Tamandua tetradactyla: one gene and its partners. The protein of the gene in region 4 purifies or fractionates together with the protein of the main gene of each other region. This does not show direct contact. Links are inferred from orthologs where the notes say so. Each region holds a gene or a part of one and is shown on either strand. Other genes may lie near its edges.

Evidence for each region.
Region 1: the proteins of CDK8 (region 4) and MED12L purify together in Homo sapiens (affinity purification with mass spectrometry; 3 studies listed by BioGRID and IntAct, counting the BioPlex papers as one, with this or other methods). This does not show direct contact. The link is inferred for Tamandua tetradactyla from reciprocal best matches to the Homo sapiens genes CDK8 and MED12L.
Region 2: the proteins of CDK8 (region 4) and MED16 purify together in Homo sapiens (affinity purification with mass spectrometry; 10 studies listed by BioGRID and IntAct, counting the BioPlex papers as one, with this or other methods). This does not show direct contact. The link is inferred for Tamandua tetradactyla from reciprocal best matches to the Homo sapiens genes CDK8 and MED16.
Region 3: the proteins of CDK8 (region 4) and MED25 purify together in Homo sapiens (affinity purification with mass spectrometry; 8 studies listed by BioGRID and IntAct, counting the BioPlex papers as one, with this or other methods). This does not show direct contact. The link is inferred for Tamandua tetradactyla from reciprocal best matches to the Homo sapiens genes CDK8 and MED25.

Annotation. Positions count from the first base shown.
Region 1 is NC_135331.1:44,633,245-44,640,991, forward strand, and holds the start of MED12L (mediator of RNA polymerase II transcription subunit 12-like protein), read left to right. Parts: upstream 1-4,727; 5' UTR 4,728-4,963; intron 4,964-5,814; 5' UTR 5,815-5,943; coding exon 5,944-6,042; intron 6,043-7,747. UniProt on the Homo sapiens protein: May be a component of the Mediator complex, a coactivator involved in the regulated transcription of nearly all RNA polymerase II-dependent genes.
Region 2 is NC_135337.1:82,091,544-82,099,335, reverse strand, and holds the start of MED16 (mediator of RNA polymerase II transcription subunit 16), read right to left. Parts: upstream 3,004-7,792; 5' UTR 2,899-3,003; exon of another isoform or gene 2,568-2,898; intron 2,097-2,567; exon of another isoform or gene 2,091-2,096; intron 1,449-2,090; 5' UTR 1,391-1,448; coding exon 1,258-1,390; intron 182-1,257; coding exon 74-181; intron 1-73. UniProt on the Homo sapiens protein: Component of the Mediator complex, a coactivator involved in the regulated transcription of nearly all RNA polymerase II-dependent genes.
Region 3 is NC_135342.1:11,337,540-11,344,809, forward strand, and holds the start of MED25 (mediator of RNA polymerase II transcription subunit 25), read right to left. Parts: upstream 3,006-7,270; 5' UTR 2,619-3,005; coding exon 2,332-2,618; intron 2,237-2,331; coding exon 2,191-2,236; intron 1,927-2,190; coding exon 1,802-1,926; intron 1-1,801. UniProt on the Homo sapiens protein: Component of the Mediator complex, a coactivator involved in the regulated transcription of nearly all RNA polymerase II-dependent genes.
Region 4 is NC_135330.1:191,475,225-191,482,272, reverse strand, and holds the start of CDK8 (cyclin-dependent kinase 8), read right to left. Parts: upstream 3,009-7,048; 5' UTR 2,943-3,008; coding exon 2,815-2,942; intron 1-2,814.

The DNA of each region.
Region 1 (7,747 bases), on a different chromosome or scaffold from region 4:
CCTGAGGGTTTTCAGGAATACTGTTGCTTGGAGCTTGGCATACTGTGACAAATTGCAATATCTGGCTGAAGCTCAAATAAGAGTAACCTCCAGAATACCCTCTCTACTATTTGAAATCTCTTGGCCAGTGAAACATTATTTTATTTAATTTATTTTCCACCTTTTGGTCAAGATGGAATTCTCTATCCTACAATACCAAAGCCAGATTCATCCCTGGGAGTTAGGTCACATGTTGCCAGGGAGACTCACACCTCTAGGAGTCATATCCCTTGGGGGTGGGGCGGGGTAGGGTAGTGAGTTTATTTTCAGAGTTGTGTTTGAGAGAGAGGCCACATCTGAGCAACGAAAGAGGTTCTCTGGGGGTGACTCCTAGGCATAATTATAAATAGGCTTAACTTCATCTTTGCAGAAATAAGTTTCATAAGGGCAAGCCTCTAGATCAAGGTCTTGGTTTATTAAATTGGGAGTCCCTAATGCTTGAAAGAATATCAGGAGTTCTCCAGGTTGGGAAGTTTAATAGTTTCACACTTTTCTCCAGTCCCTTAAGGGGACTTCGCAATTTTTTTTTCTGCCCAAAATACATTAGAATGCATCAGGGTATTACCTTAACCTGTACAGAATAACAAGATTTCACTCCCTATTCTAGGTTCCATGTAATTATGATGTTTAAATAAACTGATTAGACAGGTTAAATTAGATAGTGTATTTCAGAAAATTTAAATTTTGGACTAAATAGACATCTCTTCCTTTGGTCTCACATGGAAGTTGAGGTTTTAAAACACAGACAATATCATTTTTTTACACTGTATTCTGCTTTACCTTAATCCTAACCAGGTCCATTTCTTTAATATATTTAATTGAGGTCTTTTGATCTCTTTTTCAGCTTACCAGTTGGGGTATGGAGTAATGCTGACTATCAGAGCTGCAGAACTCTATGTCTGAGTCTCTAGTATCACACAGATACCCCAATTCCAGGGAACTACCAGGTTATATACAAAGAGCATAGCATCTCAGAATTTAGAAATAACAGCTAAAACTCAGGAACAGATGTGACTGCTATACGATCTCACTTTCTAGGAACCTTTACAATGAACCTTACTGAACCTTCTGTACTCCTTAATCATTCTCTGCCCAAGTTGTATCCCCTGATAACCTATGATCTCAGATTCAATTCTTAGGGTTTGCTCGTTATAGTTAGTTTATATTAGAGACCATACCATATTTGTCCTTTCATTTGTCTTATTTCACTCAACATAATATCCTCAAGAATTATTTTACCTAATTGCATGCCTCACGATTCCATTCCTTTCTGCCGCCACTCCATATTCTGTCGTATGTATACCCCACAGTATGTCCTTCTCTTCACCAGTCGATGTATTCTTAGGCTACCTCCATCCATTGCAAGCTACGAATAATGCCACCATTAATACCAGTGTACAAATGTCTACTCCTGTCCCTGCTTTCAGGTTTTCCGAGTATATACCTAATAATGTGGTTGCAGGATCATATGGCAACTCTATACTTAGCTACTTCTGTGGAGCCACCACACTGCCCTCCAGAGGGGCTGCACCTTTCTACTTCTCCACCAACAGTGAATAGGTATCTCTCTCTCTCTCCACACTTTCTCCAGTACTTGTACCTTGTGTTTATTTTTTACACAGTTTTATTCACCAACAAACAATCCATCCTAAGTGTACAATCAATGGCTCCCAGTATTATCACATAGTTATGTATTTCCATTTCTCCCCCTAAGAAAGAAGAGGAGAGAGAGAGAGAGAAAAAAAGGAGAAACATCAACAATAAGAATTCCATATCCCCCCACCATAACCTCCTTTTATTGGCATTTAGCTTTGGTTTATTTCCTTTGTTACAATTAATGAAAGCATATTACAATGTTACTGTTAGCTATAGACCTCAGTTTGGATTAATTGTATTTTTTCCATATACCATCCCATTTTTAACACCTTGCAATGGTGACATTCATTTGTTCTCTCTCATATAGAAGCTTTCTTATATTTGTATATTTAATTACCATCCTTGGCCACTCTAGATTTTGCTAAGTTATAGAGTCCCAGTTTTTGTGCTCTCTCTTTCCTTCTTGTGTCCTATGTGCCCCTAGCCTACCACTTTTCCATACAGAATCTTAACGCTATCAGGAATAGGAGATGGATAGCTCAAGAAGAATCACCTGCGATTTCCATGCTGCAAATAGGGGTAAGTGCTAACTGGGGCAAAGGGGAAGGAGAAAGAATGAGTTTGGTAGGTAGAGGTGGACTGCAAAGATCCCAAATGTAAGGGCAAGGAAGGAACCAAATGTCTATGGGAAATCTATGTAGTGAAAGAATGATTTTGGAGGAGGCTTATCAATTAAAGCTGTTCTGAGGACCTCACAACATCCTACTTATCGCTACCTCCAGTAACAAGAATTACTGTCCCTGGGTCTGAGGCCCACACCAATCAGTGCTCTGAGAGAACTGAGACTTTTCTGGCCAATGAGGGGGTACAGTGAGCAACAAGGCACTTTCAGAAATAGGCCTGATGACTATTATACAGATGACCTGTAACAACAGCATGAAAACAGAATCGGTCATATGGTACCTTAGGACGCATGCCCCTGAATGAGACACCATCATAGCTGACAGGTGACGAAGCAGACACTGGGTTATAACATAACCTGACTTGTGTACATTCTTCTTCAAGTCAAGAGAGGCAAGACTGATTTGATAGGACCAGGGGCAAAGGTTCCAAGACCTTTCCCTTCCAAGCTTCTGGTGACTGTGGAATCTGAGGGGGATTTTCAATAAATAGCTTGATGTACCCACCTGTTCCCTTGGCAGAAACCCACTTTCCCTCGTCTTTGTTTTAATGCCATGTGTGGCACAGAATTATGCAGAACCCTGTTTTAGTGCAAGCACTTTCTTCCCACTTGTAACTCGTAAATACAGAGCATGTGTGGTGTTAGAGCCTCAAGGGTTTTGGAAGGGAAAAGGGGAGAAGGTGGTGCTTTAGGAAAGAGGATTTTCAAGGTAGGTATTTCAGTCATTACTATTTTTTTTATCCCATTGTATTGTATGCATTTCTTTTGGCCCTCTCACTCCTTTTTTTTTGGAATGAGGCTGTGCAAAATATTAAGCACAGACTTTATGTGTCTTAAAAATAAAACAGGTGCAGTCACGAAGATAGAGGAACCAAGACAAAATAGGGGAGGACCTTGGGAGAATTAGCTGTAACCATAACTTAGATTGACAAACAGCAGATTTGAGTGGGGCTAGTAACAACAAGTCCTTACTTAGTGTTAGTGATCAGATGTTTAGTAACCAGATGTTTAGGAAACCTCTCAGGGATGTAACCGAAATTCATTCACCCGTGAGTCTGCCAGCGTGTTGGGTCTTGGGGAGAGTGGCAAAACTTTGATAACTGCTGTGGCTGGATAATGAGTTCTTGCGGGTTCATTATACTATGCCCTCTACTCTTTGGTACATTTGATCATTTTCCTAACAAGGTTATATTATATGTCCTTTCTTTCAAGCAAGAGCTAGACTGATAACATAAAGGCAAGTTCAACCAACCATTATGCTGCACTCACAGTATGAGTGGAACAGAAGCCCCTGGAGTAGGGTGTTCAGGAAGTGCTTCCTGATGGCGGTTCATTGTGTCTATAAATTCCTGCTCAGATTGAGTTAGGAAGCCCAAAACTACAGGTCTGATTTAGCCTCAGGTATAGGTTCAAGTGTTTAGGACTCAAGGTCAGGACGGAGGAACTAGCTGCTAGCAGGGTGTCATCTCCTTATCTACTTCCTTCTTTCCCCTTTGTTTGAAGTCAGCAGAGGTAAGCAGATATTCGGTACATCCAACATTTCCTGGGCATCTACAATGTGCAGCTGCCGCACAAATGCTTAGATTCTGCCTGGACCATTTTATAGGGGAGGGAAATGGGAGTCCGAGAAATTCCTCAAGTTGTGATGAACGCGACACAATCGGGCACCTGCGCGCCAGGAAACTCCGGGGAGAATAGATCAGAAACTTGGGATCAGGCAGAGGTAAATTCAAATCACGACTAGCTTCGAGGCTTTCAGCAAGTCACTTGACCTCCCTTGAACCGACTTCATTTCTCCATCTATTAAAAGGGTACAGGAAATCCTGTAAGTTGTGCAGTTTATCGAGCTTGACTGTCAAAATCCCGGCAAGAAGAGAGGGCTCCATAAATGGCAGCCATCATTCTTCTCGGCCAAGTGCGGGTGCATCCTCCGGGGCGCGCCTCCCGCGGGCTCCCCCGGGACACGCTGGGCCCGCCCCCGCGGCGGCCTCGCAGTGCTCGCGGCAGGTGGCCCAGCATCCTGGCGCCCACGCCCCAAACAAGCGGGGAGTGCGGGTGGGTGGGACGATCGAGATCTCTCCTAGACTATCCGCTGCCCCTCCCTCTACGCGCCCGGCGCAGGTGAGGTTTCCAGCCGGGGCCAAGGGGACAGCGACCTCTGGAGAGGTCGAGGCGGAGAGCGCAGCTTGCGGCCCGGAGTGCGGTGCTGGGGACGCCCCCTCCCTTGCCCGGCTTCACCCCAGGGCCATCCCCGGCGCTTGGGCCCGCAGGCTGCGCGCTCTGCGGCTGCGAAAACCCGGAGAGGCGGATCGGAGCGCGCTCCCAGCGCTGGCAGCCAACTCCTCCGCGGTCCGGCAGCCGAGCTGGGCATGCTCAGTGCGGCCGCCGCGCTGCCGTCCGCCAACTAGGAAGCTCGCGCTCCCGGGCTGTGGGGGCGAGAACGCCGGCGGCTGCGAGCCGGCGTCGTCCGCCGCCCCCAGACAGTGGCAAACTTCGTGGCGTCCCCGGAGCTCGCCTGGACTAGACTTGATACCTTACAAATAAAATAAAATCGAGTTCCCTAATCCTAACCCGAATCATGGAGGCTGCGGCCGCCAGAGTGCCCCCGCCGCCGCCGGCCCCTGCCCGCTAGCCAGTGACCAACAGGTAAACTGTTGGGGGGTGGGGGTGGAGGAGCTGCGGCCGGGGGGGAGGGCGGCGGGCTGGAGGAGCCCGAGACGCCCGCAGTCTGTCAGCCCCGATCTGCGCTCGCTGCCGCCCCTCTCGACCCGCCCCCAACCCGCCTCTGGAGGGTCAACAAAGGGTTAAGTCGGCCCCGCGCCACAGAGAGCACGGCCGGCTCCAGCCGCCGCTGCCGCCGCGACCACCAGCAGCGCGTCTCGGCGCCTGCCCGGAGCCGCGGAAGGGACCCGAGTCGCGGATGCGCCACCGGAGCCCAGCGGGAGTCTAGGAGGCACCGGCCGCTCCTCAGCTGCCCGCAGCCCTCCTCCAACCCCTCTAGGCCTCCCTCCCTCCGCACCGGCCGGGTCCGCGCCCAGGTGGCGGGGTCTGCAGGGCGCGCGGCGGCGGGGGAAGGGTCCTTGAGGCGAAAGAGGGATGGGGGCGGGCCGCTCCGCCGTCCCCTCCCTGGGGAGACGGGCCCCTTTGCCTTGGGCGAGCACTTGAGCCACCCGCTTAGTCGCCAAGAAAAGTTTTTTTTTCCTCCCCGCGCCCCTCCCCCACCCCCACCCAGGGCCCAGCTGGCGTGGGTTTGGGTCCATTGGTGAAAAAAGTCACACGTTCCCATCAGCTGCTCCTCCCCCTAGGGACGGGGCGGGGGCGGGAGGCGGGCGCCGCGGAGGACCCAGGCAGACCTCCTGGTACCTCCGCCGCCTCCGCCGGAGCGCCGCGTCCCGGGGCCCGAGCGCAGCCAGGTGCCCGCCGAAGCCTGCCCCCATCAGTGCATGTCTGCGTGTCGGGCAGCGGCAGCATCCAACCTGCTTTATTCCTGCCTGCAGCGCCACAGCGAGTGAACGAGCAAGGAGGGGGAGAGAGGGAGTCTGTCTGCAAAGTGCTGCTCCCTGGTGCTCAGAGGCGGCTGCTCCAGCTCCAACTCTCATTCATTTCGCCGGTTAACATGAGAGATCATGGCCGCCTTCGGGCTTCTCAGCTATGAGCAGAGACCGCTGAAGCGCCCCCGGCTTGGGCCGCCCGACGTCTATCCCCAGGACCCCAAGCAGAAGGAGGTGAGGACGTTGTCGGCCTCCCCGGCACCCGGGGCCGCGCTCTGCAGCGCTGACCCGGGGCCAAGTTGGCCCAGCGGGCATCGTCGGCGCTACGGGGGAGGGGTCGTGGAGGGGGGGCTGGAGGCGGGGGCCGGCCTGGGTCCCCCGCGGCGGAGACCCAGCGGCAGTCAGTCCCTGCGCTCCACTGGGGCGCTCGCTTTCCCGGTGTCGGGTCGCTTCCCGGTTATCGGGCCTTGCACCGCGCCGCTGGGTGCTTCACGGGGTTTTTCATTGCTGAAACCCTCCTACTCGCTCTCCCCCGCTCCTGCCTGCTTTATTCCCCCCCAGCCGCTTCGGTAAATCCTCGTAAACTTTTTGAAAAATGTTGGAATGCAGTGCATCCGACGCCGAGGTCTTGCGTTTTGCGCCAGTTGAGCCGAGAAGTGGAGAGGGGGAGGTGATGGTCGGGAGCATCTTTTCTCGTCTCAGATTTTCCAGTTTGGAATGGAAGTCGTTCTTGTCGGGGTGATAAATAATTTAGCTTTCTGAATATACTTTTGCACCCCCTCTCCCCTTTAAAAATCAATATTTAGGAGAAACACTGATTTTCGTCTCCAGAGGCGATTGGATTAATTGCTGAGGCTGTTTTATGTATGTGAAAGGAGGGAGATTACCTTGGAAGGGAATAAGTCCAGGATTGCTTATTCCTTTGAATGAAATTAATTGGAGAAACCTTGACACTTGCACCAGGTACCACTAGCTTCAGTGGCGAGGGTAACCATGGCATTTTGTAGTCATGTATGTGTTTGTCAAGAGTTAACAAGTACTTATGTAACAACTCTCCAGTTATAATGATCACCCTTGGCTACACGATTTGCCCAGGGACTTGCCTTTTTTTTTTTTTTTTAAGATCACCTGCTCCCCAGCTGTACTACAGAATTTGTCAGCTGCAGCCCACGTATTCTCTGCCCTCTTCATCTAAACAGGAGCTGACCACATTTCAGAACTTATCTTTTTGGAGATCTAAATTTCTCTATTAAAAGTTTACAGGGCCACCATGTAATGGAAAGGGTCTTGCAAATAAGGTGAGGAGGGGTCCTTAAGACTTCCCTTTGATAAATGTGTATATTTTGATATTAGAGGAAGAATGCTTGTTCTGGTTAAGCTGTTTTATTAATAATATGTCTGAAAAATAAGGAGGGACAACTCTTTTTAGAGGTTTCACACATTAAATATGTTTGAGCATCAGTAGAGTAGTGCAGATTGAAGCTGGGGAGGTTTCCCAGGTGTTTCCCAGGAGAGGCTCATCGTGAGGACAGGTGAGTTTGAAGTTCTGCAGCTTTCTTCCCCACTCAGTTCTGTCCATGCATCCCTGCACCAGAATAATGTGGATTGCTGAGGACCAAGAGTAGAGAAAAGTTCCAAAGAGTGCTCATTTACCAAAGGGTAATAACTTAAGAATTGTTGTTAGCAAATCCTTAAAGGTTTGGTGGGGACAGAAGCATTTGTTGGCTGATCTCTAGCGTCTCATAATTGATATCTTGCTACATCTTTCCACAGTTGTCATAACTGGTGACACCTCCCCAGTTATGAGATGGTGGCTTGCGATGCCAAGTGGGCCTCTTTGGCATTTCATTATTTTGGGCCACACTCAAGTCAGGATTGGGACCGCTGCGATTCTTGAAATAATAATTTTGAATTTCAGGGTCTTAAGCATTTAATAGGG
Region 2 (7,792 bases), on a different chromosome or scaffold from region 4:
CCTGGATTCCAGGTTGCGGGTGACCACCCCTACCCACGATGGGCCCTGAGGATGCCCCGGCCCCACCTCACACCTGACTGGTCCCACTCAAGACACGTGATGGCCTCCTCATGCTCCGAGTTGATGGAGTGGGCATCCCAGGGGTGCTCTGTGTCCAGGATGTGAATCAGGCGGGTCAGATCTGGGGAGACAGGGCATGGTCAGTGCTGCCGGGCCACAGCCTGGCGAGGACAACACAGTCCCCAAGGCCCCCATGGCCCCAGGGGCAGGTATGGCTGAAAAACCCACAAGGATACCTCGGAGCCAATGACAAGCATGCAGATGGCACTAATGCAAGGAATATGCTCACCTCCCATGGTGGGGACAGGGTGGGTGCAGCTGTACTGCCATTGTGATCACAGCCAGTTTTTAAAAAGGCTTAGAATGAAATTAGAGGAAAATGACCCAAAAAAGTAACAGTGGGCATCTTTCCATGGAAGGCTACGGCTGGCTCTCCTTTTTTATTCTGATTTTCTGTGCTTTTCTAATTTCCTCTCACAAGCAGATTATTCGAACAATGGGGAGAAGCCAGGCCCGGCCACTGTCTGCCCTGGGACGTGCATTCAGGCCGTCTGCAGAAATCACCACGTGCCCCCACAGGGGTGAACCAAGGGTCTCCTGACACTGCATTTACCCCTCAACCCCACCACCCTCTATTGGGTGGAAGAGTGTCTCCCAAATGCTCACCCCCAGGAACCTCGGGAGGTAAGCTTATTTGAAAGTAGGGTCTTTGCAGATGTGATTATTTAAGATGAGGCCACAGCGGGTTAGGGCAGGCCTGAATCCGGCAACAGGCGTCCTTATGATAAGAGGGAAACATGGACACAGAAGACACAAAGGGGACAATCACAGGAAGATGGAGGCAGGGATGGGAGATGCGGCCACAGGCCAAGGAGCACAGATCAGGCAGGAGGGACACTCCCCCGAGAAGTCAGGCCCTGCTGAACCCTCAATTTCCAACTTTTGGCCCCCAGACTGAGTCTACAAGTTTCTATTGCTTATCTCCCCCCAGTTTGTGGTCCATTGTTATCACAGCCACAGGGAGCTAAGCGAGACCCCAAGTTAGAGGTGGGGAGTCTCTGAGTGAGCCTGGACCATCCAGTGCACCTGCTAGGTAAGGGGTGGTTCTGGGAGTGCCAGGCAGGCCTGAGGGGCCCAGGGTTCCACTGTGGCAGGTGCCAAGGGCTCTGGGATTGTGGGGGGCTGGGGAGAGCGCACCCTGGTCGTCGCTGCGGAGGTCTGTGGTGAAGGCGATGAGGTTGCGGCAGGACCAGGCACAGACTAGGGGCACCGATGGGCAGTAGGTACTCTTGGGCCATTTCTCCCACTCGCAGACATAAGCCAGGTCCATTGCACCCAGCACCGCAGGCCAGGCTCCGAGGGTAGGCACCAAAGACGGTCATCAGCTCCTGAGGGAGGGGAGGAGGGTGGGCTCGTCATGAGTGTTGACTGATGCCTGCCCTTGGGTCTGGGGGTAGGGGGGTCAGGTAGAGAGGGGCTGGGCACCCTCACTGGGGCAGAATATTACTGGCAGAGGCAATGGCTCATGCAAAGGCTCTGAGGCTGGCCCAGGGCTGGTGTGTTCAAGGAGTGCTGGAAGGTGCGTGGCTGGGGCAGAGGGAGAGAGTGGGAGGGGGGAACAGGGCAGAGAAGGCAGGACTCCAAGGGTTATGGGAGGGCTTGGGTTTTCGTCCCCAGCAGGGTGGGAGCCCTGGAAGGCCGAGACTGATTTATGTTTTAACAGGACCCTCTGACTGGCTTTGGGATCTGGCCCAGGGACCTACCCTGGGCAGGGAGGAATCGGGTTCGACTCAGGGTTTCTGCTCTGGACAAAAGGACAATGGCTCTGCCTTGGGCTATGGCAGGTGAGAAGCCCACTTTGGCCCTGGGCTCCCACCCCAGCTCCCTGCTCCAGCACTCCCAGACCTGGGACCTCTAAACACGGCTCAGAACTTCCCTCAGTCTCCACACCTGGCCATGCCCCAGAACCAACCCCACTTTCACGACCCACAGCCCTGGCAACAAGCATTAAATAAATAACGACGACAACAATGGCGGTAACAGCAGGAGAAACTAAGCAGGGCTGTATTCTTTTCACCATTACCAGAGCCCAGTCGCCCTACTTTTTTAAGCCCTGCCCCCACACCACCAAGATCCAGTCACAAGCCCCTACAAAGTTCTCAAAGCCACACTTTCAAAGCCCTTTGCTGGCCAGACACCACCCCCGTCCAGGTCCCGCCCCCAAGTCCTGCCTAGATCCTCAGGTCTCACCGCTGGGACCTCTAGGCCCCGCCCCAAACTAGCTTCAGGCTCCACCTATGAGGCCTCTATGCCCCGCCCCAAGCCGGCCTCAGGCCCCATCCCCGGGCCCTCTAGGAAATGCCCCGAACTCGTCTCAGGCTTCGCCCCTGGCACTCCAGACCCCGCCCCAAGCCCCACCCCCGAAAACTCTGGGCCCGCCCCAAGCACGCCTCAGGCCTGCCACCCACCACGTTTGCCCTCCACCACCCGTCCCCAATTCCTCCTAGCCCAGGACCCCCGACCTCCAGGTCGCCTCAGGCTGTTCCCAAGTTTCCGTAACAACCCCAAGGCCTCGCCCCAACGCGGTCCTCCCGGGGGTGTACCCGGCACCCTTTGCTCTCCAGGCCCCGCCCCTGACTTCACAGGCCCCGCCTCTTGGCCTTCCAAACCCCGCCCGTCCGGGCATCCCCCGACTTCTCCCGGCTGCGCTGAGGGCCACACGAACCGACCACACGCCGGTTCAAAGCCCAGAGACCCCGCCGAGCTCCCGCGGCCCCACGCCCATCCAGCGGCTCGGTACCAAGACAAGCAGGCGGCTGCGGCCTGCAGTCACCATACCTCTCCGGACCCGAAGCCGCCATATTCCCCGTCACCAACGAGTCGCGCGCGCGGTGCTGCGGCTTTCCGGAGGTTTCTGGGATGGCGGCGGCAACGGCTTCTCCCTAGCGGCCATCTATTTGCATATAGGCGTGACTAGACTCCCAACAGCCACCGCAGTTTTATTTGGTAGAACGACGAGTTTCCTCAGCTCCATTTAGCAATTACAAAATTAAGTTACTCAAAATCTTATATTAATATCACAGAAAACATGTTGATTGCTAAACTCTTATACACTATAAAAGAATTTGCCCTTCCTGTAAAGATATTTTCTTCGAGCCCTATAAATACGGCATCTGCGAACCACTAGCACGTGCTCGCTTCGGCAGCACATATACTAAAATTGGAACGATACAGAGAAGATTAGCATGGCCCCTGCGCAAGGATGACACGCAAATTCGTGAAGCGTTCCATATTTTAGTTCTTGTTTCTTAAAGTTCTGGGGCGGGTGACCTGCCCACTGAGGACCCCACAGCTTCGGCCCCAAGCTCCGGTACTTATCCCGCACTTTCCTTCTCCCTGCTGGATTCTAAAGGCAGTCATTGGCTGTCAGAAAAGCCCTCTGGCCTGGGAGGCCCAGGTGCTCAGGGCTGGCCCACCACTGGGCGCCTAAGCCCCGTTCACACCAAGCAGCCATGCACCTGCTCTAGACTTTACGCTTAGATTTCCAAGACCTAACTTCGGCCTTTAAAGCTTTTGTCTTGTTTTTGCAGTTTCATTGAGACATATTCACACACCATTAATCTATCCAAAGTCTACAAGCAATGGCTCACGGTTTCGTCGCGTAGTCGTGCATTCATTACCATGATCATTTTAGAGCATTTTCATTACTCAAAAAAAAAAAATCCCATATCCTGTATTCCCCCCTATAATTGACCCTTGGCATGGTTAACGTTGAAGAAAGAATATTACAATATTACAGCTGTTTTCCATAGTTTGCATTAGTTGTATTTTTCTCCATACACCACCTGATTATTAACATCTTGTAATAGTCTCATATATTTGTTCTAGTTCATGAAAGAACATTTTTACATTTGTACAATCAACCACAGACATCATCCAACACAAGGCTCTCTGTGTGTTGTCCTCTAGCTTCCCTTCTGGTGACATACACCACCCAAAACTTCCCCCTTTCCAGCATACTCACACGCATAATTCAGTGCTAATTACACTCACAAAAACGTGCTAACATCACCTCTACTCATTTCCAAACCTTTACAGTCAACCTAAATAGAAATTCTGCGCAATTTAGGCAGCAGGTCCCCATTCTCTATATTCCCTGATTACTTGTATTCTAGATTCTAATTCAATGAGTTTATTTGTTATAATTATTTCATATCAGTGAAATCATACAATATCTGTCCATTTGTGTCTGGCTTATGTCACTCAGCATTATGTCCTCAAGGTTTACCCAGGCTCCATGCTTCAGGACTTCATTCCATCTTCCCGCTGAGTATTCCATCGTAGGCACACACTGCATTTTGTTTATCCATTACTGGTTGGTGGACACTTGAGTTGTTTCTATCTTTTGGCAATTGTGAACAGTGCTGCTGTGAACATTGGTGTGCAAATATCTGCTTGCATCGCTGCTTTCAAATCTTCTGGTTCTATACCTAGAGTGACACTGCTGGGTTATTGAGTAACTCTATACTTTCTGAGGAACCGCCAGACTGTCCTCCACAGTGGCTGCAGCTTTCTACATTCCCACTAACAGTACAAGTGTTCCTGTTTCTCCACATCCTCTCCCACACTTGTACTTTCCTGTTTGTTTCCATTCTTGTAGGTGTGAGATGAGATCTCATTGTGAGTTTGATTTGCATTTCCCTGATAGCTATGAAGACAAGCATCTTTTCATGTGCTTTTTAGCCATTTGTATTTCCTGTTTGGAAAAATGCCTATTCCTGTCTTTTACCCATTTTATAATTGTCTATGTATTGTTGATTTCTAGGATTTCTTTATATATTCTGGATATCAAACCCTTATCAGATCTGTGGTTTCCTAGTACTTTTCTCCCATTGAGTCAGCTGCCTTTTCAACCTTGACAAAGTCCTTGGAAGCACAGAAGCATCCAACTCTGAGGAGCTCCCATTTATCTGTTTTTTTCTTTGGTTGCTTGTGCTTTGGGTGTAAGGTCTAAGGAACTACCGCCTGTCACTCACTAGGGTTTTTTTTTTTAATTACATGAGCAGGCGGCAGGATTTGAACCCAGGTCTGTGGCATGGCAGGCAAAAACCCTGCCTGCTAAGCCACCATGGCCTACCCATGTACCAGGTCTTGGAGATGCTTCTCTATATTTTCTTCTAGGAGTTTTATGGTACTGGCTCTTCTATTTAAGTCTTTGATCCACACTGAGTTCATTTTTGTATAGGGTGTGAGGTAGGGCCCTCCTTCATTCTTTTGGATCTGGATATCCAGTTCTTCCAGCACTGTTTACTGAAGAGACTGCTCTGTCCCAGCTGCGTGGACTTGGGAACCTTGTCAAAAATTAATTGGCCATAATTAACAGGAGGACATCGGCTGTACCACAGCACTACCAGGGACAAATAACTGGGGGTACTGTAGGGGTGGGGAGAGGGATAAGTGATATGGGGCAGTTTTGATGTGATGTTATGTTTGCCAGTTCTTTGTCATTATAGACCAATGAAAATAGTCTAAAATTGAGTGTGTTACTAATTGTACAACCAAATAAAGATACTGCAAGACATAGTTTATTTGAGACATTATTCATGATGCCCAATAGATGGAGGGAGCCAAAGGATACAATGACAGAAGTACAATGGCGAATGATACATTTATATGATGCAATTTGGTGCAGCTACAAAAGGAAGGATGTCGAGGGGCACATGACCAACTGGATAAACCTTGGAGATAATAGGTTGTGCAGAATGAACCAGAAAACAAGAGTACAATGATGCTAAGGTCACTTTCAAAAAACGCTTGTATGAAAAAAATGAGAGCCTGAATCGTGGCCCCTTAGAGCGGCACATCTGGTCTGAAGTTGTGGATGTATTTCTGGATTCTGAGACTCTGAGCTCTGTGTATAATGACTGGTATTTCCCTGGAACTTTGATTAGCTCTGCAACACCTGAGTCCCTGAGATGGCGGGCTGCAGACCTGAACGTTAGCATAGCTGTGTAAAACAACAGTTGAAGTAACAGAGAAAGGGATCATGCCTCAATTAGAGGTTAAAACAAAGTCAGTCTGGCTGGGTCTAATGCAAATCAGAATGCAGGGTAAAAGATGATAATGTATGTACCATATGAGCTGCCGTGTGAGATTAAAGGCACAGAGGTTTATTGTGCCTAGAACTTAAATTTTCTGTAACTCACAGTCTGAGCCAGGCTCTCTGGATAGTTCATTTAGACAGCCCGGATTCCTGGAGTGCAGAACGAGAATGAGGCTGTGTAATTCTTAATGGCTTGGGGTAGTACCAGGAGACATCTCAGACTATGGTGGACAGATAATTAAAAAGTGTTGGTAGGGGTAGAGGGTGAGTGGCCTCAATTCGGCCTTGAGGCGCGCGCGATGTACGGTTCCCTTCCCCACACCCCGCACACCCCCCACCCAGCTCAAGGACCTTTGGGGAACGCCACGGTCCTTGCCCACCGGCCCATTCCTTTTGAGACCGGTTTGACCTTTAAGGCTGGAGACCAGAACTGTCCCTCAGAGCAAGCCTTGCAGGGTGGGAGCAGGGCCCATCTCACCATCTAGGAACTTTGGGAATCGGCGGGGGTGTGGGGCTCCTTGGATTTCCTAAATAGTAGCCGCTATCCTTTATTCAGCATACGCTACTTAACGGGAACATCTGATGGAGCAGATGTTCACAAAGATTGACTTCAGTCATGGCTTTGGGGTTAAGATGCTTCTTCTTGTTGAATTCTTGATATTCTCACAAGCAGTGTGGACAACCAAAGCTATAGGCTGAGCCTCCAGTCTTGGGGTTTGTTCATATGAAACTTAACCCCACAAAGGATAGGTCAAGTCTACTTAAAATTTAGGCCTAAGAGTCACCCCCAAGAGAGCCTCTTTAGTTGCTCGGATGTGGCCTCTCTCTCCAGCCAACACAGTCTCACTACCCTCCCCCTCTCTGCGTGGGACATGACTCCCAGGGGTGTGGACCTTCCTGGCAACGTGGGACAGAAATCCTGGAATAAGCTGAGACTCAGCATCAAGGGACTGAGAAAAACCTTAGAATGAGCTGAGAATTAACATCAAGGGATTGAGAGAACCTTCTCGACCAAAGGGGGAAGAGTGAAAGGAGACTAAGTGTCAATGGCTGAGAGATTCCAAACAGAGTCGAGAGGTTATCCTGGAGGTTATTCTTATGCATTAAGTAGATATCACCTTGTTGTTCAAGATGTAGTGGAGAGGTGGAGGGAACTGCCTGAAAATGTAGAGCTGTGTTCCAATAGCCATGTTTCTTGATGATGATTGAACAATGATACAGCTTTCACAATGAAACTCTGTGAATGTGAAAACCTTGTGTCTGATGCTCCTTTTAGCTACTATATCAACAGAAGAGTAGAACATATGGAATAAAAATAAATAATGGGGGAACAAATGTTAAAATAAATTTAGTTTGAAATGCTAGTGGTAAATGAAAGCGAGGGGTAAGGGGTATGGTATGTATAATCTTTTTTTTCTCTATTATCGTTTTATTTCTTTTTCTGTTGTCTTTTTATTTCTTTTTCTAAATTGATGCAAATGTTCTAAGAAATGATGAATATGCAACTATGTGATGATATTAAGAATTGCTGATTGTATATGTAGAATGGAATGATATCTTAATGTTTTGTTTGTTAATTTTTTTAATTAATACAAAAAAGTTAAAAAAATACATATTCCCCCCCCCCCC
Region 3 (7,270 bases), on a different chromosome or scaffold from region 4:
AATATTTTTGGTTGTCACATCCCAGGGGGTGGGGCTGGGCAGCTACACTACCAGTAACCAGTAGGTGAGAGACCAGGGATGCTGTCAAACTCACTACAGTGCACAGTATGCACGCCCCTTCCCCACACCCCCCACAGTAAAGACCACTCTGGCTCAAAGCATCACAAATGCTGAGGTTAAGAAACCTCATTCTATACTTACGACTAATTCTAATAACCACAACAGGGAGGCTTAGGAGTCTACTTTTCACTGCAGGCTCGACACCTGCACACACAGCCTGAAACAAAGCAGACACTCAACAAACAAGGCTGAACAACGCTAACAAGAAACAGCAGCTGGGCCACGGTGGCTGAGCAGGCAGGAATGCTTGCCTGTGATGCCAGAGGACCCGGGTTCGATTCCCGGTGCCTGTCCATGCAAAAAAAAAAAAGAAACAGCAGCTAAAACAGGGGCCATTTAATAGCCCATTAAATAGCCATTTAATACCAGACCAGATCAGAACTTGAGCTAAGCCCAGAGCAAAGATTAGCCCCTGAGCTCCTGTCAACAGCACTAAGAAATGGAATACCATGACCCCAGTCATAAAAGCACTAAGATTCACTTATAAACCAGGAAACTCAGGCACAAAATATTAGCACACACAAACATAGCACTTCACGTGGGCCAAACACTGTTTGCAAAGCAGTTCTCAACTCATTTAAAATTCTCAAAGTGCCCCTGTGATGTCGTGGTGGCTAGCCCCAAGGTGGCCTCCAATGGTCCCCACCCCTGGGAGCTCATGCCCTACTGCAGTCCCCTCCCACGCTGGACAGGACTAACTTGTGCACCAAAGAGAATGTGGCAGTAGTGATGGGTGTGACTTTTGGGGCTTAAGCCTAACAAGCCTTGTAGCTTCCTCCTTGCTCTCTCTGCTGGATTGCTCAGAGCTGGGGGAAGCCAGCTGGCATGTTAGGAGGCCATGCCAGCAGCCCCAGGCAGAGGCCTTGTGGGAAGGACCTGTGGCCTCCTGCCAATAGCCACAGAGTGTGCCAGCTTGGGAGCAGATCCTCCAGGCCCATTTGACATCCTGACCACAGTCTCAAGCAGACCCCCAGCCAGAAGCACCCAGCTAAGTCACTTCTGTTTTCTCTTTTTTGGGGGGTACATGGTCCAGGAATCGAACCTGGGTCTCCCGCATGGAAGGCGAGCATTCTACCACCGAACCATAAACACTTGTTGTTTTAAATCATTAAGTTTTAGGGTGATTTTGAACATGGTGGTAGGTAAGTAATACAATAAGTAAGTAAAACAGAGTCTAGTAATATCCTGATATCTCTTTTTAGAGATGAACTGTACAAGGTCCAGAGGAGCAGGGATTCCTGGGTCTGAGTGTTAGGTGGTGGACCCCAGGTGCCAAACTCCAATGAACTAGTACACTCTGACTTAAACCCAGGGGGATCTATGATGCCACAGGTGTGAGCTTTCTGTACTAAAGTTTCAATGTGCCTATCTGAACAAGGAGGGTTGGAGGAGACAGGAACCAGAAGAGAAAAACAGGAGGGGAGGCACAGAAGGACATGAAGTGGAATCTGGAGCTCAACCAGGACTCTCTGGCTGCAAAACCTGTCTCCATCCAAAGCAGTGACGATCTCACAAAACCCGCCACAGAGGTGCCTTATGGGACCAACACGCGATCTTTCCTCGCTGAGTCCTTTCAACTAGCCAATGGGAATGAATGGTTCCTGAAGCTCAATTCCAAGCCACGGCCAGTTCATGGCCCCTCATGGGAACCCCAACCCACCCCAGCAGGGAAGAAGCTCACTTAATGCTATCGAGCCAGGTGACAAACTCGTAGGCGCTGCTGGTGGGAGCATGGCATTGCACGTAGGACTCGGGAGCGCAGTCCACCGTGTTGAACACGACGAGGCTGTACTGGGTCCCCCCATACTGGGAGAAAAGGACAGAGGAATCTGAACTTGAGTTCCCAGCACCCTGATCCTTCAGAAAAGTTGGGTTACCGGCCGCCTCCTCCCTCAGACCCCGGAGTCCCGGCCTCCACCCCACTCCTCCCTCAGCCCCAGGTATCCGGGCCCCCAGTCTCCTCCTCCGTCAGACTCCAGAGTCCCGACCCCCAGAACCTCCTCCCTCAGACCTGGGAGTCTGGGCCCCCAGCCCCCTCTTCCCTCACACTCAAACAGTCCCGAGACTCACGTCTCCCCCGAAGTCCGTCTCAGCAGGAGGACCACCATTAAAATACCTATCAGGGCCAAAGGTCAAAAGTCGAGGTTAGCCAAAAGGCCATTTAAAACTAAAGCAGGAGGGCGGGTTTGGAGTCGCGGAAACGGCACTCACTCGATGGCCGGGAGCAGATAGTGCTTACGGAGCCCCTCGAAGTAGGGACCCAGGTTAGCCGTACCCTCGATCACAAACACGACGTCGGCCACGAGGCCCCCGGCGCGGGCCGGGCCCTCCGACCCGGGGACCATAGCCCGCGCCGCAGCCACCACAGCCACCGCCGCCACAGCGGGATGACCGGAAGTGCGCTGAACTGCGCGCGCATCCGCGCAGGGCGGCTTCGAGCCGCTGGGGATACGCCGGCGGCCATGCTTGTACAGGGCAGGCAGGGCGGTCGGTTCCATCCCCGTCCTCGTTCACAACCACCCGATGAGAGACCCAGACGGGACAGAGTGAGCCATCTCGGGAGCCTGGTGCGGGAGAGCGAATAGGGGACTGGATCATCCAGAACAAAACACAGCGACAGCGGCTCCGTCGGCCGCCATCTTTGAGCGGGGCACCGCTGTTTCCGACTCTGGTCTCCCTGGGCTGGTGAGGAGACCTAGTTGCTATGCGACGCGTACGCTGCCCTTGTGTTCAACAGGGAGATTTAAGTTTCTAGTTACATTCTCTCCAGCGGGTGCAGGATGGGTGAATGGTCCAATCAGAGCGTCCGAAATGGGCGTCGCTCGGCAACGCTTTAAGGCTGCAAACAACTTGGAAGCCAGCGAGGCTGTTTTCCCCGAAAAGAAGCCGAGCTCCTAACCCGGTGGAAGTTGCTAGGCAACACTTGCTAGTTGTTTGCTGGGAAGGGAGCCGGAAACTGGCCCCAAAACAAATACGTTCCAGGTGGATTAAAAATGTAAACAACGAAACCATAAAAATATCCGAAGGAAAAAGAAACGCGCTGTATCATTCTGAAAACCGGCCAAGATTTTCTTAGCATCATCCCGAAGACAGAAAACTTAAAATACTGGCATATTTTTGCCCACCGAAACAATGCCATGTTTGGAAGATATACAGGAAACGTCTTTGCAACATACCTGAGAATCAAAATTTACTACACAAATGAATCTTACGAATGGATAAAAAAGTAGAAAAATGGACATAGTCTTTTTTAATTTTAAATTTTTTTTTAAATGGGAAAGAGCCTGAGCAGCCTTTACACAAAGAGAAATTAAAAATGGCCAATAAAAATATGACAGCTGCCTGTCTTCATCGATTAAAAAGTGCTGACAGAAAGCCCGGTGAGATAGCGTTTTGCTTTTGTGGTGGTAATTAATATCAGAAAGGATATGGATGTTCATTGAGGTGGCAGAATTTGGGTAAAAGGAACAATTTCACAGACTGTCTGTGGGAATGTAAACGGGACGACTTGCTCCAATGCATTTTGGCGATATATGTTTCTGCCAAAAAACTGCATTCCCTTTGAAAACAGCAGAAGAATCAGCATTTTGCCACATTTACTTGATCCATCCATTTTGTCTTTGCTGAAACTTCGTAAAGCAAATCCCTGAAACCCTATCATTTTACCTCTATGTGGTTGCAGGCATTTCTAAACATGTATGGATTTTTTTTTTTGCATAACCACTTTCCAATTACACTCTTGACTAAATTAACAGCTGTTTCTCAGTATCATCTAGCACCATAATCAAATATCCCCTATTCTCTCAAAATGTCTTTTTACAATTGTTTTATTTGAGTCAGTCTCCGAACAACGGCGACTCACATATTATTTAGACATTATGACTCCTATGTTTCTTTTCATCTAGGACAGTCCACTCCTTTTTTATGCTAGCATGATTGAATTTCTAGCAAGTTTTTAAAAGGAAATAAAAGTAACATTGAGAAAGGAAAAATGATCAACAGGTAAGACAAGTATTTAAATGTTACCTGAAATTAAAATCTGCCCTGTTAACTTCATAAGGCAACTTTTCTTTAGATAGGTTAAATGCTTGATTGGTTGACATAATTGAGTTTTAAGCCTTTCTATATGTGTATTAAGAATGGTAAAATTAATGATTAAGTATTTTAGACTAGACTTCTGGAATTATGATGGACTAGGCGGACGAAACTGTTTTTAAGATATTGGTCGTTTCATAAGAGGAAGGAGTATTCTTCCAGGATCCTCTCCCCAAAGAAGGGAGGGAGGGAGGGAGAGGGAGGGAGAGAGAGAACTAGAAATTAATAAACAAAAAGGCAGGGGTGTTGTGTGTTGGTTTTTTGGGCAAAACTGCCTGCACCGATGTCTCCAGGAACTGAGGACAGTTTGAATCCGACAACTGAGTCTGGTTGTCTAGTTAAACCAGGACCTTCCAGGGCAGGCCGCTACAGCAGCTCCATGTGGGATGCATTCCTGATGACTCACAGAAACAGGAGTAAATCCTACACAGAGGACTCAGATCACGATCAAGTAACAAGTTCACAAAGATCCCCAGCCAGAGGTGAGAAATATAAGCAAGAGTCCACAGAAGCCACACTCAGTAGATGTAGACCCCAAGGGCCCCACATGCTGGGATGGCCCAGTTCATAACATACCATAAAGTTCCAAATAGTGAAAGAAATAAAGGGCACTAACTTATCGCATGCCATGTAACAAACTATGTCCAAACATTGTGATTTCAAACCTCATTTACTATCTCACAGTTTCCCTTGGTCAGGAATCCCTACACAGTTTACCTGGGTGCTCTGCTTCCAGGTATCTTACAGGCTGGAATAAAAGTGTCAGCTGGTGCTGCAGTCATCTCAAGGTTGAACCAGGGAAGGATCTGCTTCCATGCTCACTCACGTAACTATTGGCAGGATTCAGTTCTTCAAGGGCTGTTGGACAGGGGTTACCCTCAGTTCTTCACCATGCAAACCTTTCATTGCAAAATCCATAACAGAGCAACTTGCTTTATCAAAGCAAGCAAAAGGGCAAAAGAAAATGTCAGGAAGAGAGAAAGTGGAAGCAAGACATAAGCCATGGTCTTTATAGACTCTCCTTACCTTTGCAATACTCGGTTAGAAGCAAGTCATAGGTCCCCTTGCATGCCAAAGGGAGAGAATAACACAAGAGAGTGAATATGTAGAGAGACATTTTGGAAGCAGCCTACACTAGACCCAATCACAAAAATCAACGAGCACAAAGGAAATATCAAGAATAGGTGAAGTTGGTTCTGTGAGAAAATCAATAAGATTGGTAGACCCTTAGAGAGGTTGACAAAAAGAAGAGAGAAGATGCAAATAAATAAAATCAGAAATGGAAGAGGAGACATAACCACTGACCCTGTAGAAATAAAGGAAGTAATGAGAGGATACAATGAACAACTTTATGCTAATAAACTCAACAATGTAGATGAAATGGACAACTTCCTAGAAAGACATGAACAACCAACATTGGCTTGAGAATAGACAAGCTCAACAAACCGATCACAAAGAAATTGAATCAGTCATTAAGAAGCTCCCCCAAAAGAAAAGTCCAGGATCAGTTGGCTTCACATGTGAATTCTACCAAACATTCAAAAAAGAATTAGTACCAATTCTGCTCAACCTCTTCAAAAAAATTGAAGAGGAGGGAAAGCTACCTAACTCATTCTACCAAGCCAACATCACCCTCATAACAAAGCCAGACAAAGATATTACAAAAAAAGAAAACTACAGACCAATCTTATGAATATAGATGCAAAAAATCCTCAACAAAATTCTTGCAAATCAAATCCGGCAGCATATTAAAAGAACTGTACACCATGACCAAGTAGGATTCATCCCAGGTATGCAAGGATGGTTCAGCATAAGAAAATCGGTTAATGTAATACACCATATCAACAAATCAAAACAGAAAAACCACATGATCATCTCGATTGATGCAGAAAAGGCATTTGACAAACTTCAACATCCTTTCCTGTTGAAAACGCTTCAAAGGATAGAATTAGAAGGGAACTTCAACATGATAAAGGGAATATATGAAAAACCCACAGCTAACATCATCCTCAATGGGGAAAAATGGAAAACTTTCCCCTAAGATCAGGAACAAGACAAGGATGTCCACTATCACCATTGTATTCAACGTTGTGTTGGAAGTTCTAGCCAGAGAAATTACACAAGAAAAAGAAATACAAGGCATCAAAACTGGAAAGGATAAAGTAAAACTCTCACTGTTTGCAGATGATATGATACTATATGTCAAAAACCCCCAAAAATCCACAGCAAAACTACTAGAGCTAATAAATGAGTACAGCAAAGGGGCAGGTTACAAGATCAACACTCAAAAATCTGTAGTGTTTCTATACACTAGTAATGAACAATCTGAGGGGGAACTCAAGAAATGAATTCCATCTACAATTGCAACCAAAAGAATGAAATATTTAGGAATAAAATTAACTAAAGAGACAGAAGACCTATACAAAGAAAACTACAAGACATTGTTAAAAGAAATCACAGAAGACCTAAATAGATGGAAGTGCATACTGTGTTCATGGATTGGAAGACTAAATTTGGTTAAGATGTCAACTCTACCTAAATTGATTTACAGATTCAATGCAATACCAATTAAAATCCCAAAAACTTACTTTTCAGAAATAGGAAAACCAATAACCAAATTTATGTGGAAGGGCTGGGTGCCCCAAATAGCTAAAAGTATCCTGAGAAAGAAAAATGAAGTTGGAGGTCTCACACTACCTGACTTTAAGGCGTATTGTAAGAATTCGAGAGTTTTGCCACGCAAAGGACTCCAAGAGACGTTCTCTCATGCAACACGCAAGGGGTTTATTTACCACACATGCGTGGGGCTCACTGAACATGCAGGAACAGAGAGCCCCGAGCCTGGATTTGGGGAAGCTTTTAAGGGGTAGGAGGAGGGGGGTGAGGGTCGAGCATGGGTCACAGGTGCTGCTTCATGCAAGAAGCAGATAACAGACATTTTGCAAGAAGCAGATAACAAACATTTTGCAAGAAGCAGATAACAAACATTTTTCACGCATGAGTCATGGGAGCTGCTTCATGCAAGAAGCAGCTGTCTCGTTGTGCAAAACTCCCT
Region 4 (7,048 bases):
GATTTATTGTGCATTTACATTTTAACTCTATTAGAATCTGAAATTAATACAATCATAAAAGACTCCTTTCCCTGCATGTGATCACGCCTCCAATAAAGTACTTTCCCTTTCCCTACATTCCTTAAAAATGTTGAGATTTTCATAAGTGCAGTATACAAGCAGGATAATTTTACTAATCCCTTAAATCAAACAAATTATCTTTTGAGTTGTTTTATTTTCTAAAATAACGTAAGAAGCTAACACCTTTGGTCTAAATTCTTTTTACCGATTATTAACGCTTTATGATGCTCACCTGACAAATGAAAAGGATACAATATTTACTTCATTCACTTTAATAGTCAAACATGTCTAAATAAAACAATATTTATATTATTTCACTTTACTGTAAATCTTAGGATTGTCTTTGAAGGTGTTACTGTCTGGATTTCCAGCGTACTCTGAAATTTAAATTGCAGAAACTATAACTTAATTTGAAAGCAAATAATACTAAAAATAAATTATTTGATCATGATCTTTTTAGAAAAGATTAAACAGCCACAAATTTTATTTCACCAGGACCAAAATACATTAAATTGAATTTCACTGACATAAGCTCAAAAGAACCTTGTAAATACAGTGCTGTATTTTACCAGAGTGAAATTACAAAAAAAGCCAACCTGAAAACTAGTCCCTCTGGACAACAAAAACCATTTTAAGTAATTTTAAAACTCTCTTGATATTTGATCCATTAAAAAAAGGTTCATCATATAAACAAAATTATTATAGGCTGCTGGAAAACAAGACTAAAGATTATTAACAAAAAGTTATTTTTCCAAAACACAATTTTATTTTTCAGCTATCATAAATGACTAAAAAAAAACTTGATAAATTATATATTCAGCCACGTTTAAACTGTGTAATTCTTCTCAAATTATTCTTGACAGCCTAAATTGAAATTTGGACTAAGCTATTCAATGTGCTTAAAAAGTACCTCCGGCCAATATACAAATTATGGTTTTAAAATAAAACATTACATGAAGTTAATCAAATTTGCATTTTCTTATTAGCATGATTTGGTAATTCATGAAAACAGAACGGGCTTCTCTCAGAGAAATTAACAATAATTTAAAGTCCCTTGAATTTTATAAAACAGATGACCAACTGGTGAAATATACTGATGTCTCATCTCATGGGATTGGGGATTTTATTAATATGTTACAAATTATGTAATATTGGGGGATGGGTGAAGGGGAAATGGTTTAAGACTTTTGAAAAATATAGTACGGTAAGCTAATTAAGCATAGTTTTTAAAATATGTATGTCATTACAGAGTTATGCTTTAAAAAGAAATCTAATTAGACAAGAGAGTCAGCAGTATCTCCAGACGCAGATTTCTCAAACGTCACTAGACTATCCACTCCACTAAAAAGTACTTTTAAAAATCATGTGGCATCCAGAGTATCAAGTTTTTAAATCCCTATCTTCTGCAGATATCTATATTGCTTTAACTGCTGCATAAAAGCACTGAAATACACATTTCAAGTTAATTAGAACTATCTTCCTCTTGGAATCTATTTTAAATTATTTTAGAAAGATATCTCAGTAAATCTAAGAAAAGTGTTAAATACACCTTTCTTTTCCATGATCTAGCTAAAGTTTTATAAATGTTGCCTTCCCCTCTCACTCCAGGTAACTAATTTCAGCTTTATGAAAGGTTTCGATTTTTTTTTAGTGCTAGAATATATCTTCTACTAATTTGGAGAAAAAAAGAAAAGTACTTATTTTAAATGTTACATAGCAACCAAACAAATTAACAGTGCTGTTCGAGTAAAGCTACTCTGTTTCCAATAGACTCCAAAGATTATTAATTAATAAGCTTTGACGTTATCTTCCCAACAATTTTCTCTAGTGGCAAGGCAACATAGACAACACCCATTTTGTAAGAGGAAAATGAAGAGTTAAATACATTTTTAAATATATTTTCTTCCCAACTAAGAAATGTCTTCTCTTTTGTCAATATTACAAGACATTATAAGTCATTCATCTACTGACAAAGGAAAATAATGAACACTTTCTTGACTGCTTAGGAAACTAAACTGGGAGCACTGCTGGTCATAGATTTAATTATGCTATTTCTAGGGAAGAATGTTTAAAGCAAAAAAGACTAAAGTTCACTCCTAGCTGCTAAATTTTGGGGGAACAGCCTAAACATACAGCCCCTATTTGTCACTTACCTTTTCCCACCATCCATCTACCCTGCAGCAACCCCCCATTGTTCTATGCAAAAACTCACAGCTGATGATATTTAAGCAGCACTTGCTACATTTATTTTACAGATGATCACAAAGAGGAACGCTCAACAACCACATTTCCGTGCTGCCTTCTTTCCCCCAAATAAAACCTAAATGTGATCATAAATCGATTACAAGCTGGTCAGGGGAAAGGATCAGCTTGCCTTCCAGACTGACCGATGTCACTCCAGAGGCGGGGGAGGAAATCCCCAGAAGGTGACCATTATAAGCCGACAAAAACCAACAAACAAAAATATAAACTGACAATGTATAACGAACTAAAAAAAAAATCTAGTACTAAAACCCTAGAAGAGATCAGGGCCCACGGGAAAGAGGCGCCTATTCCCCGTCGGCCACCCAGAAGAACACAGAGGCAGCACGCAGGATTACTTGTGGTTCTGGATCCCTCGTACACCACTTCCTCCCCGAACCTGGCCGGCGGGGCCAGACGCGGGTGCCGAGGAAGTGGGAGCAGGGCAGCCGGCCCCGCTCTTCCCCGCCACCTGCCTCGGCCTGCGAGAGTCAGAGGGGCACACGCACTCACCCATCTTTCCTCTTGGCTTTGTAGACGTGACCGTAAGTACCTCGGCCAACTTTGCAGCCCTCGTATTCAAACAGGTCCTCGACCCGCTCCCGCTCGCTGCTCAGCTTCACTTTAAAGTCATAGTCCATTGTCACAGCCTCCGAGGCGGGGGAGCTGGGTCGGGGGGCCGGGCGGCCGGGCTGCGCGCCGGGGAAGCACGGGCGGCCGCGGCCCCCGGGAACACGCCCGCTCTACGCCCGGCGGCCGCAGCACCGGCCCGACGGAGGCGGCGAGAGCAGAAGGCCCCGCGGGAGCGCCGGGGGCATCCAGGGGGGCGGCGGGGCCAGGCGAGGGAGGCTGGGGACGGGGCGCGGCGTCTGCCCTTGTCCCCGGGCTCCGCGGCGCCGGCTCCCGCAGCCCTCTCGGCCGCCCGGCTGCTCCCGCGGCTGTGCTGCGGCGGGCGGCGCGGCGGGCCCTCCTCCTCCGACACGCACCCGCTCCTCTCCCTCTCGCACACACTCACACTCCCTCACTCACTCCCTCGCGCACCCATACACTCCGACAGAAAGGCAGCCGCCACACAACAGCCGGTGCCTCCTCAGAGAGAGGAGGAGGGCGGGCACTCGCAGAATCCGGCCCGGCTGTCGCAAAACGTCGCCAAGTGGGGCTCCCTCGGCTGTCGAGCGGCCTGGACCTCCCTCCCCCACTTCGCCCTCGTCTGCTCCGTCGGGCGGTCGCGCGGGCCGGGTCGTGGGGACCCGGTGAGGGGGCGGCTGACCAAAGCCCCCGACGGACGCACCGTGCGCCGGGTGCCCAGCCGGGGCTGGTCCGCACTACAATGCCCAGGATGCACCGGTCGCACTGCGCCCGCCCCTTCCACGACTCCGCCCCACACAGGGGAAACGTGGGCTGAGCCGCTGGACGGGATTTGTAGTTCGAGGTGGGATGAGTTCAAGTCGCTGGAGGGGATGTGGTGGGGGCTGTTGGGTTTTTTTGCAACGACATCTTCAGAGTCTGATCTGAGCCATTAACTTAAGTAAAGAAATGCGCGAGTGAGGGATGCTGGTTTATGTCAGAATCACAGTCTGCAACTCCCGAACTGCAGATTTTAAAGAGCAGGCTCATGATGGGAAAAAGCCTGTATAATGTTTGTAAACAGCGCACATGCTATGAGTGGGGCTACTCTTAGCGTTCACAATCTCATTAGGACTCCACAGTGTTATCGACACACTGCAAACATCAAGAGAAGTGAATCAATGAGGAATGTCTGCTCTGCTCCAAATATTATTGCTCTGCAGATAGATGATCATCCAAATGGTTCCCATGCATTCAGACAGAAGCTTGTTTAGGGTACGACTTTCTACACCATTCTCTATAACAGCACCAATTTTTAGCCATGAAGTTACAGTAGTGGGAATAAATCCATGGGAGCTAATTTGTTGACAATGTTAAGGCAGGAAAGGACTCTGTAGGAAGAGTCCTGGTATCTTGATAATAATCTCTCATTTTGCCTTGTCTCTCTTATTTGCATGTCTGTTTCTTTTTTAACTTTTTGGTTTGCATTTTCTACCATTTCTACTATAGTTCCCCAGTCCCAAACAGGGTATGTCTCTACAGTTTTTAAACCCCCATAATACTCTCCCACCCAACTTCCCCCATCTGTGGCCCTCGTCAAATTCTGTTTCATGGATTTCTATAAGAAATCATATTTGCATCTTCCATAACACCTAGCATCATGCACAGTAAACATTTGTTGAATTAATGAATGAATAAACATGTTATATTAAAAATATCCCTGCAGAAATTATGATGATGTGATGATGATAGTATTTTCTTTAAACTCTTCCACAGGACCCTTCTCTTATATAAGTTTCTTTGGAGAAAATAATAACTTCATCAGTGGTTTAAATTAAGCTATTTTTACATAGTACATTCAATATTATTTGGTGTTTAAGTACTTTGACTCTGGTTAGATGGGCCAAGGTTTGAATTCTGCTTTGCCATTTATTAACAGCATATCCTTGACTACCTCTGAGCTTCAGTTTCTTTGAAAATGAAGATATAAAAGGCCCTCACTGAAAGTAAGTGCATAACAAATGTAACTTTCACTAATGAGATATTACATGTTTCTATTCAGGGATATTAACTGAGTGACTCTAGCAGGACTGTGCCTTAGCATAGTTAAAAGTTCTTTTTTTTTTTTTCCTCAATGGAGTTGTAGACCAGATTCCTCCTAGAAATTTATTTTGTGCTTCTTGAGAGGCCTGTCTTTTTGCCCAAGTATTTACTTGTAGATCTTGAGAAACGAAGTCACTCCTCTGGAAGAAAGATTGTAAAGAGGCATGGAGCTAGGATTGGTCCTACACTGTGGGTGCCCACCCCCCCACTCCTCCATATACATACCACCTGTGTGTGATATTCCCGAACATTGAAGATCCTCGACTTTTTAAAACGTACTTTTGTCTAACATTTTGATCTACCCTAGATGAAGGTAAGAATTCTTTCTGAAGGAATTAAATGTCCTAACAGTAATCCCCAGGCAGGAACAGAAGCTGACCTTTGACCAGGGAAGAGAATGGCCTGCTATTCTTTCTGAGAGTTAGAGGTCTGACCTCCAAGTTGGGGAAATATGGTGGTACAAGGTAAGCTAGCCCCTTAACACAGCCTCAGGATGGGGACCTAAGGAAGAAATGGCCATTAGGGGCTCCTTCCAGAGGAGTAGGGCTAATGTGTCAAGAGCAGTAATATCTGACATCGAGTTTTAAGTTTTATTTTCTGCATGGTTATTCCCTTCTGTTATCCCCAAGCTGTCAGCCTGATCTTAGCTATGGGACCTGCATCCATGCTTGGAGGAAGGGGAAGAACGGCAGCCAGAGACTTAATTCTGAAAGATAAGAAATGGCCTGCAGAGCCAAATAGGTGAGCTAGGAGAGACTTATATATAAGTATTCCAAAATTTGAGGAGCAGAACCTGTTTAAGAATGGGCTTCCTGAGGTTAGAAGCATGGAGGTTCAGACTTACGTGCTATTTGAATGAATTACACATATCAGGAACATGGAGCTCTCATTTCAGTGTCAGTTTACAACCTCAGGTCATGCTGATTTCACTTATCTCTCTGCTGTGTGATGAGATCCAATGTTGTAGAGTCTATGACCCTCATTGGTCTCCATTCCAAGCAATTCCCAAATACTGCTCATGCTTCCCTTCTTAAAGTGTGGTTTTCTTTACGTTCCAAATTGAACATCTCCAGACTTAACATGCCTCCCAAGCACCAGCCCTACATTTCCAACTTAAATTTTCTGAAACTGAACACACTGTGCTATTATCTGAACTTCCCAATTCCTGTACCTAGCAAGCCCAGTAGACAGTCATTCTGTTGAGGCCTTCATTACCTACACATTTGTACTTAACACCCTTGCCTAATATGCCTGTTCTTACGGCTGGAAAGCCCGTGCTAATACCATCACTGACCTTTGCAGTCATACTCATTCTCAAGGGCACATCTCAAAGCCTAACTTAGTCATGAAGCCTGTCCTGATTCTTGCAATTGAATATGATCTTTCTGTGCTGGTTTGAAATGATGCATGGACCCTAGAAAAGCCATGTTTTAATCCTAATCCCATTTTGTAAAGGCAGCCGTTTCTTCTAATCCCTATTCAGTACTGTATGTTTGAACTTGTAATTAGATCATCTCCCTGGAGATGTGACTCAATCAAGAGTGGTTGTTAAGATGGATTAGGTGGAGACATATTTTCCACCCATTCGGGTCGATCTTGATTAATTTACTAGAATCCTATAAAAGAGGAAACATTTTGGAGAAAGCTGGAAATTCTGAGGGAGCAGAACGATGTAGCCACAAGAAGCAGAGTCCACGATCCAGCGACCTTTGAAGATGAAGAAGGAAAATGCTTCCTTCATGAAACAGGAAGCCAATAGAGTGAGCTAGCAGAGGACGCCATGTTCACCATGTGCCCTTTCAGCCGAGAGAGAAATCTGACTATGTTCGCCATATGCCCTTCTGCTTGAGAGAGACACTCTGAACTTCACTGGAATTCTTGAATCAAGGTATCTTTCCTTGGATGCCTTAGATTGGACATTTCTATAGACATGCTTTACTTGGGACATTTCCATAGCCTAAAAACTGTTAACCTGCAATTTATTAAACTCCCCTTTTTAAAAGCTGTTCTGTTTCTAGTATATTGCATTCTGGCAGCTAGCAAACTAGAACACTTTCTTTACCAAAACCCCCTACTC